Struthio camelus: one gene and its partner. The protein of the gene in region 2 binds, or shares a complex with, the protein of the main gene of each other region. Links are inferred from orthologs where the notes say so. Each region holds a gene or a part of one and is shown on either strand. Other genes may lie near its edges. The genes, in order: LEP and LEPR.

The links.
Region 1: the proteins of LEPR (region 2) and LEP are in contact, whole or in part, in a crystal structure (PDB 7Z3R), measured with the Mus musculus proteins. The link is inferred for Struthio camelus from reciprocal best matches to the Homo sapiens genes LEPR and LEP. Residues at the interface, in NP_666258.2 of Mus musculus: Tyr439, Leu440, Thr441, Arg466, Ser468, Leu469, Tyr470, Gln499, Pro500, Ile501, Phe502, Leu503, Leu504, Ser505, Val560, Phe561, Glu563, Asn564; in NP_032519.1 of Mus musculus: Lys26, Val27, Asp30, Thr33, Leu34, Lys36, Thr37, Thr40, Arg41, Gln92, Gln96, Asn99, Asp100, Glu102, Asn103, Asp106, Leu107, Leu110.

The regions. Positions count from the first base shown.
Region 1 is NC_090942.1:1,271,552-1,279,636, reverse strand, and holds LEP (leptin), read right to left. Parts: upstream 3,221-8,085; 5' UTR 3,194-3,220; intron 2,147-3,193; 5' UTR 2,121-2,146; intron 1,392-2,120; 5' UTR 1,381-1,391; coding exon 1,237-1,380; intron 397-1,236; coding exon 28-396; downstream 1-27. UniProt on the Homo sapiens protein: Key player in the regulation of energy balance and body weight control. Once released into the circulation, has central and peripheral effects by binding LEPR, found in many tissues, which results in the activation of several major signaling pathways.
Region 2 is NC_090949.1:36,498,085-36,506,337, forward strand, and holds the start of LEPR (leptin receptor), read left to right. Parts: upstream 1-5,059; 5' UTR 5,060-5,186; intron 5,187-5,805; exon of another isoform or gene 5,806-5,812; 5' UTR 5,813-5,868; intron 5,869-8,253. UniProt on the Homo sapiens protein: Receptor for hormone LEP/leptin. On ligand binding, mediates LEP central and peripheral effects through the activation of different signaling pathways such as JAK2/STAT3 and MAPK cascade/FOS.

The DNA of each region.
Region 1 (8,085 bases), on a different chromosome or scaffold from region 2:
GGGCTCCCGGCAGCAGCTCCCGGGGCGCTAGCAGCTCTGGAGGCCGTCGAGGCGGCGGGCGATGCCGTCGAGGCAGGCGCGGAGACGGGCCAGGGCCAGCCCGGCGGCGCTGTAGGGCGAGACGGCCAGCAGATCGGCGAGGTTGGCCGGGCCGGCGGCGGCGGCGGTGGCGGCGAGGGGCAGGGTGCAGCCCAGGTGGGCGGCCAGGGCGGCCAGGAGGCTGCGCAGGTTCTCCATGTCGTTGGCGATCTGCGCCAGCGGCACGCTGCCCGCCGGCAGGCCGGCCAGCACCCGCTGGAAGCCCTGCAGCCGCTGGTCCATGGCGGCCAGGCCCTCGGGCGCCCGCTCGCCGGGGATGAACTCCAGCCCGCTGATCTTCAGGTTCAGGGGGAAGAGCTGCACCGGCGGGCTGCGGTCAGGGCACGGCACCCGCTCCCTGCCCGGGGTGCAGGGCCATCCCGGCGCCCAGCCCCAGCCCGGGGTGCACGTCCCTGCCTGGGGACCTCTGGGCTGCAGGGACATCCCGGCACACCCCAGCCCCAGCCCCAGCCCGGGGTGCACGTCCCTGCCTGGGGACCTCTGGGCTGCAGGGACATCCCGGCACACCCCAGCCCCAGCTCCATCCCAGGGTGCACGTCCCTCCCTGGGGACCTTTGGGCTGCAGGGACACCCTGGCACCCAGCCCCAGCCCGGGGTGCATGTCCCTCCCTGGGGACCTCTGGGCTGCAGGGACACCTCAGTACCCCCCAGCCTGGGATGGGTGTCCCTCCCTGGGGACCACTCTGGGCTGCAGGGACACCCTAGCACACCCCAGCCCGGGGTGCAGGTCCCTCCCTGGGGACCCCTGGGCTGCAGGGACACCCTGGCACACTTGAGCCTGGGGTGGGTGTCCCTCTCTAGGAACCCCTGGGCCAAAGGACCACCCCGTCATACCCCATCCCAGGGTGCATGTCCCTCCCTGCGGACCCTTCAGGAGCACAGGGCCCCCTGTCACAGCCCAGCCCAGGCCCGCGATGTCTGCCCCTTCCCAGGGAGCCGGGGCCCCTCCGGAGCGCTTTGGCACCCCTGCTCCGCTGCAGGCGAGTGTCCCCCCTGCTGACACCCAGGATGCCTCTGAGCCCCGAGCTGTCCCCGTCCCTGCTGGGACCCAGCGGCTCCATGGCGGGGACGTCAGGGCGGGGGTGACCGCCAGGGTCCCTACCACCGCCCGCTGCCCCGTCGTCCTGCGGCCCTTGCCTGCAGCTCCTGGATGCGGGCGATGAGGGTCCGGGTGAGGTTCTTGGTGTCTGCCTTGACCTTGTCGATCTTCACGGGGCGGCCGCAGGAGAGCGGGAGCCACATCCAGAGCAGCCCGCAGAGCGACACGCCGGGCCACCGCATCCTGCTGGGCTCTGCCGGGCGAGACGCGCCGAGGCGCTCGGGCACTCGCCGGGCGCAAGTGCCACCCCACGGCGCCCCTGGGGAGGGGACCGGGGCGCCGGGCTGCTGCGGCACGCAGGCACCGTCTTGGTGCTGACCCCGTCCCTCCCTGGGGGCTACGTATCCTCCCTGTCCCCCCGTCCAAGGGGACGTGGGACACAAAACACCCAGGTTCTTGCAACAAGGCATCACAAAACGGAGAGTGTCACTGCACCTTGCCCCCCATCCCGGGTGCACAGGGAGGAAGAGGGTGACATGAGGCGCCCGGGGAGACATGGTGTCAGCGGTGTCCCCGTCCCCTGCCGGCACGTGCCAGGGTGGCCGTGCCGGGAGCCTTCCCGGAGCTGCCCTTTCGCAAGCTCGGCCCAAAGTCCCCAGGGCCTGGGCTGTGCCCAGCCGCGACCGCGCGGGGCTGGCGCTGGGCCCTGGGCATCCAGCCCCGTGTGCCGGCGGCGGCAGGTGACGATGCTCCCTCCCTCCCCGCGCTGCTGGGGACCCCCCCGTGTGTGTCCCAGCCGTGGCCTGAGCCCCGCTCCCCCCGCAGCCGGTCACCCCGGAGCAGGGGAGCTGCCCCCCTGTAGCACCGTCCCGGCGGGCCAGGTGATGGGAGAGGCCGAGGTGCAGCAGGATGAGGCCCTGCCTGCACCCTCCATGCTCGCCGGCAGACGCAGGGGCGAAAGGGCCTGGCGGTGGGTACTCACCGGACACTCGCACCAGCTGGGAGAGCCTGAAAGGAGAGAGACCCCCCCCCCGTGACCACTGGGACAGGGGACCTCCCCCACCACCAGGGTGAGTTGGGGTCTGGGCAGGACCCCCCAGCATCGCCGCCCCACTCGGAGCAGGGCGAGCAACCCCCCGCCAGCTGCTGCTGCTGTGCACCCAGGGTGCGCGGCCTGGCCGGGGGCAGAGGGTGCAGGGCCACCCCCAGGAAGGTGCTGCTGTCCCCCCCCACCGGCTCCTCGGGGAGCCGCGTGGGTGCTGCAGCCCGGGATGCTCAGCCGCTGTCCGAGCAGGCACTGACCTCCCCGCGCCGGCGGGGAGACCCCTGCAGAGGCGAGGGAGCAGCGCGCATCCGGGATTTCCCAACCCGCTGGCACGGCGTGCATCCTCGCAGCCTCCAGGCGGGCACCACCGAGGCTCGGCCTCGAGCCGGCGGGAGCTGCCCCAGCGCCCCGCTCGGGCTCAGCCGGCCGGCTGCCGGGCTGCAGACACCGCAGGCCGGGGGGTGCCGGCCAGGCGGGCACCGCGGCGGGGGCCGCGGAGAGGCGGCTGCGGGCTCTGGGGTGCGTGGGGAGCTCCTCAGCGCTCCCCGGAGATCCCGCCGGCTCCTTCCCCGACACGCTGAGCGGGTCCGGCCGGGAGCAGAGGTGAGGCCCAGGGAGCCGGCTCGGGGCCGCAGGCCGGCCGACGCACCGTGCCCGGTCCGTGGGACGTGGGGCAGGCTAGCCAGCTTCAGCCACCCAGGAGGGAGAGGTGGGGGGGGGGGTCTGGGGTCCGGATTCCCCCCTTCCTGGGTCTCCGTCGCCCCCCAGCCAGGCCCCGGCCAGCCTCCCTGGGGTCACTGCAGCGGAGCTGGCGTCCCCGGCTGCTGCACCCTCGGCCAGAGCTGGACCCCAGCGTGTTGCAGGGCTCCGCCAGCGCTGCACCCCGGGGGGTGGGGGGGGGCCTGGGGGCAGGGCGCAGCCGGCCCCACCGGCAGCCCGGGCAGGGGCGCCCAGGAGAGGGGGGTCGCGGGGCCCGGCCGGGGAGAGGGTCCGGCTGCCGCCCGGCTTACCTGGGGGCCGCCCCGTCCGGTGCCGTCCCGTCGCGGCCGGTGGCTCCATGTCCCGCGGCCCCTCCTATATAGGGCAGCGGGGCCGTTGCACAACGGGCGCTGCCCGCCCCCGCCCGGCGCTGCCCGCCCGCCCCGACGGCCCCGGCCCCGGCCCGGGGGCTGCCCGGCCCGGCAACCCCGCTCCGCCCTGCTCCACCGACCCCCCAGGGGCTGTCGGGGAGCCCGGGAGCACGGGGGGGGTCTCGGGACACGCGGGGGGGGTCCCGGGACATACCGAGCACGGGGGGGTGCCGGAACACGCGGGGCACGGGGGGGTCCCGGGACATACCCGGCACGGGGAGATGCGGGGACAAATGGGGCACGGGGAGATGCGGGGACACAGGGGGCATGGGGGGATCCCGGGAAATACGGATCACGAGAGTATACAGGGACACACGGGGCACGAGGGGAACCCGGGACACGCGGGGCACGGGGGGATGTGGGGACACTCGGAGCACGGGGGTGTTCCCGGGACACGCGGGGCACGGGGGGATGTGGGGAAATACGGAGCATGGGGGTATACGGGGACACACGGCGCGCTGGCAGATGCGGTGACATCCGGGGCACGGGGGGATCCCGGGACACACGGGGCACGGAGGGGTGTGGGGACACCCGGGGCATAGGGGGATGTAGGGACACGTGGGGCTCGGGGGGATGCGGGTACACACAGAGCTCGGGGGGATGAGGGGACACACGGAGCACCGGGGGATCCCGGGACGCACCGAGCACGGGGGGATGTGGGGACACAGGGGCAAGGGCGGATGTGGGGACACACGGGGCATGGAGGGGATGCGGGAACACATGGAGCACAGGGGATCCCGGGACACACGGGGCATGGGGGGACGCAGGGACACGTGGGGCATGAGGGTATGTGGGGACGAACGGGGCTTGGGGGGATGTGGGGACACACGGAGCACGGGGGGATCCCGGGACACACGGATCACGGGGGGATCCTGGGACACACGGATCATGAGGGGATACAGGGACACATGGGGCACGGGGGGATCCCAGTACACACAGATCACGGGTGGATGCACGGGGGGATCCCGGAGGGATCCCGGTACACATGGGGCATGGGGGGATCCCGGGGACACATGGGGTGGGGGGGGGATCCCAGGACACATGGGGCACGGGGAGATGCGGGGACACACGGAGCATGGGGGGATGTGGGGACACACGGATCACGGGGGGATGTGGGGACACACAGAGCACAGTGGGGGGGATGCAGGGACACATGGGGCACGGGGGGGATCCCAGGACACTCGGACCATGGGGGTATGCGGGGACAAACTGGGCTCAGGGGGATTCAGGGACACACTGGGCATGGGGGGACGTGGACACAGGGGGATGTGGGGACACACGGAGCTCAGGGGGCGATGCCGGGGACACGGGGGGAAGAGGGGACACAGGGAGCATGGGGGGATGCTAGGATACACAAGGCACCGAGGGGATCCCAGGGCACACAGGGCACGAGGGGATACGGGGACACACGGAGCACAGTGGGTCCCGGGACACGCAGAGCAGAGAGGGATACAGGGACACACGGGGCATGGGGGGGATGCCGGAGACACACAGGGCACGGGCGGATGTGGGGACACACAGAGCACGAGGGGTCACAGGGACACACGGATCACGGGGGGATGCGGGGACACATGGGTCACGGGGGGATCCTAGGGCACACAGATCGCTGGGGGATGCGGGGACACGTGAAGCACAGTGGGGTCCCGGGACACATAGAGGAGAGAGGGATACAGGGACACATGGATCATGGGGGGATGTGGGGACACATGGAGCACGGGGACATCCCAGGGTACACGGATCATGGGGGGATGTGGGGACACACGGAGCACAGTGGGGTCCCAGGACACACGGAGGAGAGAGGGATACAGGGACACACGGAGCACAGGGGATGCCGGTGTCTGTGCGGGAGCGCATCCCACAGCCGGGAGCCGGGAGCTGGGAGCCGGGAGCCGGGAGCCGGGAGCCCGCAGCACAGTCCTGGGTGGCACCGACCCACGGGCCTGAATCCGCTGAGCTGTCCGTGCCCAGGTGCCTGCCCCACACCCGCACCCTGCCACCCTCCCCCGGGGAAAGACGTGCGTGGGTCCTGGACCCCCCCCCCCGCCACCCTCTGTGTGCGCGGTGACACATCCGCACCGCCGGCGCATGCACACAGGCACCCACCGGGGCTGCAGTGTCCCCCAGAGCACAGTACGGCCCTGCCCAGCGCCCTTGGGGGGGGGGGGTCTCTCCCCCTGACCTGCCCGGGGGGGGGGCTTGCCCCCCTGTTCAATCTGATCTGCTCCGTATGGAGACAGGGGGCAGGACAGGAGGGGCACCCCCCACCCGGGATGGACACTGCTGCCAGCCTCGGGCATCCTGAGCTTCCGGGGCTCACCTGCGGCCCTTGGGCCAGGAGGAGGTGGGATGGGAGCCCCCCTGATCCCGCCTGCCCCCCAACCCCCCTGGCCCCCCATAGGCAGCAGCCCCGGCCCAGGACTCACAGGTGCATGGCGTGGGTAGGGTGAACACGGGGCGCGCACCGGTGCTGCTGGGGTGCACACGCATGCATGCACGCACACACACGTGTGCAGGCAGGTGTGCACGCGCACGGGGATGCACCATGTGTGCAGACACCCGGACACGCCAGGTGGGTGCATGCACCCTTCGTTGGTGCAGCCGGGAGACCTGGCTATGCGCCCGGTTGTGCGCACACACGTATGCAGCTCTGGGTGCGGGGTGTGCACATGAACACTGTCACACGACAGGGCTCCCTCCGGCTCAGTGTGGTGGTGTCCCACCACGGATGGGTCACCTGGGGCTCTGGTGAAGGCAGGACACGGGACCTCACAGGATGTCAGCCGGGGAGGTGGTGTCATCAGGCTGGTGAATAGCGCACTCGGTGGCATACACACAGCAGGGCATGCACACACCTGGGCAAACACACACCAAGGTGCGCACACACACACACACACACCCCTGGGCACGTGCACCCTTGGGCACACATGCTTCTGGGCATGCGCACACCTGGGCAAGCGCACACCTAGGAACAGGTGCACACACAGACACACGCGCGTGCACACCCCCACCCCACCCCCGGCTGGGTGCATGCACACCTGGACGTGCACACACCTGGGCACACGCCCGCCGCGGCACTCACCGGAGCCCGTGCACCCGCGCTGCTGGGGAAAGCGGGCGCCTGGGGACGCTGCTGGGGCAAGGCGCCGGGGCTGGCCCACGCCGGGCTGGCTGCTGCTCCCCGCGCCCCGTGCCGCGGGGCTGGCCGAGGCCTCTCCGGAGCCGCTCCGGTGCCTCCCCGGCGCTGGGAGCATCCCGGGGCTCTCCGTCCCCGCATTCACCCTGGCTGCTCTGGAGGAGCCGGGGCCACCAAGGACGCAGGGTGCCGGTCCCTCCCCGGCCGAGCCCCCCATCCCGCAGCAGCTGGGCCCACGGCAGCAGCTCTGCTCGTGCGCAGGGAAGATGCTGCAGTCTCGCAGGGCTGTGCCTGGCTCCGGCCACCGCCACGACCTCCGTGTGCCTCCCGCGGGTCCTGCGCAAACCCTGGCTCCAGCCCGGGGTGGCAGGGGGTCACGGGGGAGCCCAGCGGCCCGTCCCCTCCAGGCGCGCCGGAGCCGGGATGGAAATGTGTCCCACTGGAGATGGCCGGTGCAGCTCCCCTGGGATCCAGGCTCAGCATCGCTGACCCGGGCGAAGAGCTCCTGGCTGTCACCCCAGCGTGGCTGGTGGGACCCTGAGGCTGGTGCCACCACCTTGGGGGCCCTGCGGTGCCGGACCTCTCACGTCCCCTCTCCGCAGGGGCAGCTCCTGGCCGCGCACCCCTGGCGCACCATCTACTCATGGGCTATGTGAGCCCAGCAAGCCAGCTGGGCACCAGGGCAGGATGCTCAGCACCTTCCCGCCCCGCGGTTCCTACCCCAGCGCTGCCGGCAGCGCGGTCTGCCGGACCTAGCTGGCCCTTTGGACGGCACGGCGTCCGTGCAGTGGACAACGCGGCTCCGCGGCCGGGGGGCGGCTGCCGAGGAGCGGGCAGGGGCACCCCGAGCCCTCCGGTAGCTGGCTCCGGGGCAGCCCGGCCGCGGGCGGAAGCGGCGGGGTTTGCTCCTGCTCCGCAGCCGCCCGGCCTTGCAACGCGCTCGCCCGGCTGCGGGGTTGGCGTCGTGGGCGCCGCTGGGAGGAGCGGGCAGTCCGGGCTCCCCAAGCCCCTCTGCATCACCAAGCCTCCCCGAGGTGGGACCGTGTTGGGGGAAAAGGGGGTCCCGGGGTGGGTTTTTGGGGGGGGCACCACCTAGGGCTATGCTCCCCGGCAGCCCGGCGGAGGGGGGGCCCCTCGGGGCAGGGGCCGGGGCTCCCCGGGCTGGAAGCGGCCGGAGGAGCGGGGAGCCGAGCCAAGAGCCCGTAAATGCTCCTCGCTCCTCCTCATCCTTCGGGAAGGCGCCGGGCGCTTCTCTTTATTTTTTTGCTGTTATTTTTGGTCCAGAAAAGGCCCGGTTGATTCATGGGTTTTACGGGATTTCTTGCGCCCCGTTGCAGGGACTGACGAAAGCCGGCGTGAGCTCAGCGGCCCCGGGGGAGCCCCCGCGGCCAGCCCGGATTAGCACCGGCCCTGCGCATTCCTGCGGTGGCGGGGCAGCTGCGGCAAGGGGCTGCCGCCGTGACCCGGCCTGACACCACTGCCGAGGGCCACGTCCCGCCGGCCCCCGCCGGTGCCCTCCGGCGCGGAGCAGCCAGGCTCGGGGGCTCCGCCAGGACCCTGAGAGTTTCCAAACCGGCTGGAAAACGCAAGAATTTGCCCAAAGGCGACCCCGGATGAGCAGCCGGGCGCAGCAGGCTGG
Region 2 (8,253 bases):
AGACGTAGAGTAATAGGCATGAGTCCAAAGGACACCAATAAATCTTATCAGGTCTCTAGAAGAGGTGATTTATAAAGAAAGACCGAATGAACTGGAGTGGTTCAGTTTACACAAAGGAAGACCAGTGTAAGACAACAATGTAACTTAATATAACTGATGCATACAAAGGGACTTTTGAAAGGAGGCAATTAGGTGTCTTCTGTCTCTCCCAAATATATGAAAATAGGGTTAAACTGCAGGAAAGAAGATTTAGTTTAGATACTAAGAAAAAAAAAAACCCTTTAAATAGATAATTATGCACTGGTGTAGATTACATAGGGAATTTTTTCCTTTTAGGGACCTCCAATGCTGTGCAGGGAAGTGGAAGAAAACTTGTTCCTTGAGCTTCAGTCAGACCTTTGTCTTGAGACCTTTTACTCTGAATAGAAAATTATTTTCTAGTGGTTCCTCTTTGAATGTGGCCTAACAGGAACATGACAGACTAGATAGCTTGTGATGGTTTTTGCTTATGTTAAGAAAGTCCAAGATGCAAAAAACATCAGCAGCTGCCTAACCTCAGACGGGAATTGTATGTAGACCAAATTTCCCAAATTGTCTTACTAGAATTCAGAAATAGTCTCAAAATATAATTTATATTCAATTAGAGATGGTGGTTATTTTAATGAGGAGAGAAATTGGCTAATGCTATTCGGAGGAAGTGGATCATGAATTATGGAAAGTCAATGAACAAATTAAAGCCAGTCAGTAGGTCCAATAGATAGTGTGAGAACATGTTCGAGCCTGTTTGCTGAGAAGAACTTGTAGTAGGTGAACAAAAATACTGTTCTTTATATCTTATGAGGCAGAAATTATTTTTGCATTTGTTTGCAAATAGTATTGCTGAAAAGGAAAAAAACATGCCATAAAAAACCTCTCTTGCACCTATCTGGGACTTACCAGTGTGTTACCTTGGTTCTGAACACTTGCTGCATTTTCCAAGAAAAAGCATGAGCACAAGCAAGAATAAAACCTCTAGATCCTCTGGCATCCAAGCACAACTTTTCTAGTTGTGCTCAGTCCTCAATTTAAATCCCTTGACATAACTCCTGGGTTTGTTTTTTTACTGGCAGTTCCTGTCAAATACGTGGTATTGTTTTACATATGCATCAGCGCTTTTCTCAAAGAGCTCTTTATTCACGAGGGCAAACACTAAAGTGTAAAACAGTCAAAATGTGATTTTAATATCCCCAAATATCCAATACTCTTAAAAGATGAGCCAGCAGGCAATGGATACATACATCATAGCAGAACCAGGTCTTTAAGAGAGATTTGAGTGAATGGACTTTGTTAAGAAAAGATAATCCATATGTGGGGATGCCACGGAAGCCTTGGAAACAACGGTGGAAGTGGGAGGTAAAGCAGAGCTTTGCTTCGGGGACCAACGTGCTGAAGGGTACAGATGAGCCAAGAGAGGGCAAGTCGTAATTGACTGTAAGGTGGGATAAGAATTTAAATACGCTTGTGTGGAAAGGGGAGCGGTAGTGAGTGGTTTGAAAAGTGGGTGAAATGGCTAGTTTAAGCCTTAAGGGAGGCACACTGGTAGCAAAGAAGCTTGGGCCTACAAGAGCCCATCCAAATTATATAATCCAGTTCTGTTTTATTGGGGACACCAAACTGTGTAATAATTCTTTTCACAATTTATTAAACACTCACTTAAACTGATTTTTTTTGTTCCTCTCACCCTGTTATTTCCATTAGAAGGCTGTTCCAGAAGTGCATATTCTTCTACTGGCCAAGACTCAGATTTAAATAACCAGCCCAAATGTATTTGTGGCAGGGTTATACCCATCTGATTTTGTGCCAGTGTTGTCCGTTGCTTGGAACAGTTTGCAGTTCCTTCCTCTCCCTGGGGTTTACGCGTCAGGTCTTTCCCTCTGCTCCCCCCAAATCTGTTCTTAAGTCGTGGATGTTTTCAAAAACAGATTTCATCACGCCCTCCTCTTACAGAGGCTTTATATATTTGTTCTTTCTCTTATTGTACTACTACTTAACAGATTTAGTAAAAATACCTGTGCCTGCGGCTTCCCTTTCACGTGCTAGTTCTTTCATAACTCCATCTTCATGCTTTAAACCCTTTCAGCGTTCTCCCTACTGTGGCTATAGTAATTTTAGTTTCCTTAACCTCTTATTAATCCTGCTTCTAACCCTATGGTCAACATTGCTATCTTAACTGAGGAAATTATTTAATATGGTTTTATAACAAATCTCTAATCCAATCTCTATTTTTGCTGGTTGTATTAAGGGGGTTATCTCTAATCTGCAATCTAATCTCGACTTTTGCTGTTTGTTTTAATATTTTTTCCAAGTCTCCTTCAGCTGGGTCTCTTGCCGTATCTTCAGTGACATCTGGCATGGACTGTTAGAGACAAAATACTCTGGGTGAATGTTCCACTATGGACTTAATACAAACTAGAGGTTCATATGCGTAACTGGGCATATAGCTGTGTGTTAGAAGAAAAAATAAACATAGAAGCGGTTATCTTTTATCTTCAGATAGTGATTGGAGTTCTGACTTTCATGTGAAGGTAGCTTTTAAATATATATGATAAATCATTTTGGAAAAATATAGATTGCTACAGTGTATTCATCATTCATTTTAGAACCATTTTGTATAACCTGGGGACGTTTTTCACCTTTCTAACTTCAAACCTAGTCTTCACAAATTTAATACTTGAAAAACTCTTTTTAATAATTTAAGGTCAGGTTTTAAATTTAGTTTTACTTACTAATTTTCACTGTTAATTTCTCCAATGTGGTTCAGGATATTTATGTAAAAAAAATAATTTTTGTGACAACAATCCATACAGTCAGTATTAAAACACATCATTAGTTATAGAGGCAGAGATGGAAATAGTCTCTCTGCATCCAGATTTTTGTGTAGAAATGTGTAATTTTTTTTAATTAATAGGAAATAATTATCTATGCTTTTGAAATGAATGTTTCATTAACTGAGTTACAAGCCAAGCTTTTTTTTTTTTTTTTTTAAATGAATGATTTTTGACATTTTTTGTGATGCAGAAATGAATTCTAGCTGGAAATCTAGGTGCTTTGAGGAAACCTCTCCATTGCTTAAGATCATAATTCTAAAAAGAAAGTAAATCACATATAATATGAGTTTACTGAGAAATTCTATTTCAGGAGAGTGAATCCTTCTTGAATCACAGAATCACGGAAGGGATGAGCTTGGAAGGGGCCTCTGGAGATCATCTAGTCCAACCTCCCTGCTCAAGCAGGGTCCTCTAGAGCCTATTTCCCAGGAATATGGGAATTTCCCAGGAATATTTTCCCAGAATAATGGATGCTAGTCGGTACCTTATGCCCATACAGCGTTTCAAGTGAAGTGAATGGGGCTGCTTATAGAGACGGGTGGAGCCTGGCAGGATTTAGATATCAAGGATCGTCTCCTTCCGGAAGTTTCATCCTCGTGCATGCAAAAGTAATGATTCAAGTTTTGTATGTGCAAATGCACATGAGTGATTGGGTTGGTAAATCAGTCATGAACCCTTTATTCGTTACACGAAAAGAGGAGCAGACTTCTCTACATAGCATCCTATATGTTAAAAGCACTACGCCTTTCCATACAGATTGGCTTTGTAAAAGCATGAGAATGGGTAACCTCCTTAGTATGATCTGTACGTATTAAAAAAGTCTCTTTAGAATCATGTCTGTATTGCTTACTTAGAACTATATATAAAATTTTGTACATATAGCCAATACAACTTAAAACTAAGATAAAGAGTAAGCTATTGTGGTTTTTAATGTCTAAAAAAAATCAAAATACGCAGGCTAGTGAGTTAATTTTAAAATAAAGCTCTGATTTTTTTGTCCTTAAACAATCTTAGGACAAATTACCGTTTAAAAATCAATCCAAATACAGACTCAGAGATGACCTATAATACTGCAGGTTAAATCATCGCTGCATTGCAGATGATGGCAAAAACTTAGGATTTTGCCCAATGTTACATGCTATCATCTTGGGCAAATAAGTTTTTAAAATAAAATCGAGATATAAGTAACAGCTCTTTTAAAATGATAGTCTAAAGTTGGTTGTTTTGTAGGACTCCTATACTTGTGTTACTTGAGATTGAAAAATTACGTTTCTTGATCAAAACCGAACTCTTCTACGACTGGTGAGCACCAAGTGGCTCACACTTCTGGACTAAAATAGTTATGCATAACAACGCGTTAATGTCTGCCCATATACTTTATGCACCTTGGAAGTCTCTGGCAGGCCGTTAATACAAACATTTTCACGAATTAAAAAAATGGGATTTTCCGGATCATATTCTATACCTTTACTCATTTTCTAGTATATAATTGAACAAGCAGCCCAAATTGAATGGGATAGCGCTGCTTAAAGAGTAACGTGCTGTTTACCAGAATTAAATGCATCCAAATCAGATCTTTTAAAACGTTAAATAGTTATTTGTCCTTCTACGGAGAAGTGGGCACGTTTGCGTTAGGAATAATAACTCACCACCTTTAGGTTTAGCATTTTGTGAAACCTCAGAGATCCTTGGCAAACGCGACGAGTAGGCGCAAGCAGCCAGAAAGAGCCCCTGGTACTTCGTGTCACCTTTTACGTTCGTAATCGGATGTTTTGTGCAGCCTACGCTGTTAAAACCACTAACCCGAAATACTTCAGGAGAACATTAATTCTTGATGAATGTGTCTATGGATTCAGACCGGGCTGACTGTTCCCAGAAGCGTCTCTATTTAGGTAAAACAGACCCACTCTGCGTTCAAAAAAAAAAGGGGGGGGAGGGGGGTAAGAAATGTCATTGAATTTCCTTCCCTGTTAATCACAAAGCGCTAAGCTATTAATATAGCAGGAAAAACTACGCGAACGTTCACGCTCGGTTCCTCCTTGGCCCCAAGTCCTGAGGCAACGTCCTGAACGCTCGAGGTTTCCCCGTGCGCGGCCGTTGGGGCGGGGCGGCGGCCGTTGGGGCGGGGCGGCCGCGAGGGCGGGAAGAGCGGGGCGGCGGCGGCGGCGACCCTCGTCTGTGCGCGTCGCGGCGCCGGGCGCCAAAGCGATCGCAGGAGCTGCCGAAAGAAAGGAGGAGAAAACAACAGGGAAAAAAAAAAAAAAAAAAAGCTAGTTTCGGCGTAACTTCGGCTGAGGCTCTGGAAACGCGGCGGAGTAGGTCTGTGTCTGTACCCGCTTGTTTATTTCGGCTTCTGTCCCGCGGCCGGTGGCGGCGCTGGCCCCTCGCGGCCGGGCGGGGAGGGAGGGAGCCCGCGGGGCGGGAGGGCTCTGAGGGACTAGGCGCCCGGGGCGCCGCCGCCCCGGTTCGTGAGGGGCGCTCCAGCGGCCGGGGGAGGGTTTTTTTTTTTTTTGCGGGCGTCGTGGTGGTTCGCCGGCCGAGGTTTTTTTAGCTGCCGCAGCCGGGGCGAAAGGGGCCGCTCGCGTCGCCTCTCCGTGAGAGGAACGGGGCGCGGGAAACGACGACCTCCTCCGGCCGCCAGCCTCGTCCCGTCCTGGCCCCCAGTGCCGTCCCTGGGGGCCATCCGTCCAGCTTCGTGCTGACGGCGTAAGCGGGAGGGGAGCTCGAAGGTGGCGTGCGGTGCAAACGACGTCGTTTTTGCTGAGAGACGTGTGGTGAGCAAAACGCAGCTCCTCTGCGAGTGCGGGTTTTTTTTTTTTTTTCTGAAGAGAGCAGCTTTCTAAGGGACGAGGCCAGCTGGGAGGCTGACACGATGTATATAAGCCCCTCACCGTTGGGCTTTTTTTTTTTTTTTAATTAATTTTTTTCTTCTTTTGAGGTGTTAGTGTTTGAAGGAAAAAAAGACGTCTGTGTGAAGGTGCAGCGGAGGACGGGCTGCTGGGTGAGTGAGTGGCGCTGTAGTATATAGTCCATCCTGACAGGAAAGCGCTTTGGAAATTTTATCTGCCAATTATTGACACGGACACTTATAAATAGAGTTTACAATGAAAACACTGAGAGCCCTCAACTACCACATGCAGCTATAATCTGAAGGAGTTTTAAATGCCAGATAATTACAGGAGCTGCGCTTGCACCTGCGTGTAAGGAAGAACCGATGTATGCTCATCCGTGAGGAGTGCAGGACCAGTGTTTGTTAACAAATGCTTTTCTCTATCCCTTGCTTAAAATCATCAATATTTGTGGAATTTAAGTCTCTTAAATTGAATGCATGTCATGAGTGTGCACAGACTTAGATACTGCATTTGGTAGTGTTTTCTGGAAGTATGGGGGGGGGGGAAATGCAGCTCTTCTGCTGCTGGCACCCGTTCCTGGGTCTCTGGCATGGGGTGGCAGAGGAACTCTCTGAGCGCTGTGGATGTTTGCTGAGTGAGGGGTTAGCCTCAGTACAGACAAGGCAAAAATTGGCTCTAGTCTCGGGGCATTTACTCTGGTGTTTTGGAAGAGAGGCTGCACAGGCGGACTTAGAGGCTGTTTTTGTAGCCGTGCTTTCTCTTTCTAAAAATCAGTGTGTACTGGTGGGACAAGGGTAGCTCTGCTGCTGATTTCATTCTTCTCAGTGTGTGGGGTGATGTGCAACTTAGGTTGCCTTGGTTAAAGCTTTGGTGGTATTTGAAAGTGAAAAATATTCAGTACAAATTCCACTTCCATTGCTATTTTCCATGTTTCATTTACTCTGAACTCTTTATTTGTAATGTTTACTCATATACTGAATGACAAACAAATGCAGTGAATTTCTGTGCCCAGGAGGGCTGACTAAGAACCATTGCTCTTGCCAAAACCAACAGGAGTGGGAAGTCCTCAGCACCCTTAAAGATCAAGCCAGAAGACGTTGTGCGTAGGCATTATTACTAGAATATTTTATGCTTTATAGAGATCTTTTAAATATTTAAAAACAGCTGTAGCAGAGTGCTTTCAAAACTCAGGGACAGTTTGTATGCTTACAGTATTATGTTCCCATTTCCCATTAACTAGCAGCTGTTGTTGTTTTTTTAGGAGAGTGGGAATAAGAAAAAAAGAAAAAAAAAATCCTCACTTCCAAAGCTTGTATGTGCGTAGGGTATGTTGTTTGAGGAAAAATACGAGATTCCAATAATTGAATTTCTGTAAGTTTCCGTAGCTTCTGAAATTCAGGGAAAAATATGATTTTGGAGTATTTGCTTATTGGCAAACCACTTGCTAGTCCCTCTGTCCCTGTAAAAGGCAATGAGAATTTTACAGCTGAGTTCAGTGGTGTCAGGATTACACCACTCAGCTGTGTCCAGGAAAGGTTGTAGGGACTCAGCACTCTTAGTCATGAGTGCCACCCTCTGTTTACTAATATTCTGTCTTGTATTACAATCCTCTTCTCACGTTAAGCTTATCTTTTGTAATTCAGAGGTGAGACATGCAAAAGTGTAAGTTGTCAAGGCAAGGAACTGGGAGGGGGCAGCTCCAGGAGAAAAAGGAAACATTTTGTTATGTTTTTCTGAGCCCGGTCAGCAGGTGTTTGTGGGTCGCCAGCCAGTTTCATTTCAGGCTATGCTGAAAATGTTTCCCATGCTGATATGCCAATGAATTGTACAACTTCTCAGCTTGCCTGTAAAAAATGATCTTAATTTCATTACCCTTCTTGCTTGTCATGTTTGCTGTTTTGAATTTAATTGGATGTTTTTGTTGAGACAGGGATTCTCCTTACTGCATTTGTTCAGCGTTTAACACAGAGGAACACGCTATTAACTTACAAAATTGGAAAACTTCTTGTATGCAGCAGCAGAACAGCTAGTGGTTCCAGATTGCAGTATCTTAAGGCAGATCCCTTCCATGTGTATAGATATCATCCCAACCATGCATGCAACAACTGTTGCTCCTTGCTGTGTTGCTAGCTTACTTGCTCCAGGACAGAGCTGTATTTAAAAGCTTTTATAATACTTCTGTACTGATCTTCCAGTTCCCTGCAATTGTTCCTATAAAACTTGTATTTTCTTGTTAGAAGTCCTAACTAACCTCTTTCTAAGTTCAGTGTTTTCACTAGAAAAGATATTCAGTGTTCCTATCCAGTCCAGGAATACATTCCAGTCATCCTGGGAGTTTTCTGTAGCTAGTTCTCTCTAACAAATTTTTATTTAAAGTGTCAGAAGGGATACTAAACCATGAAAAGAAAAGCAGCTAATGCTTAAAGACATGTAGCTTGCATTGCTTTTTGATCATGTACAGTACTGTTTTTTTTGTTCATGAATGTTGTTGGAATCGGCATAAAAAAATAATACATTGGTAAAAATTCAGCTTA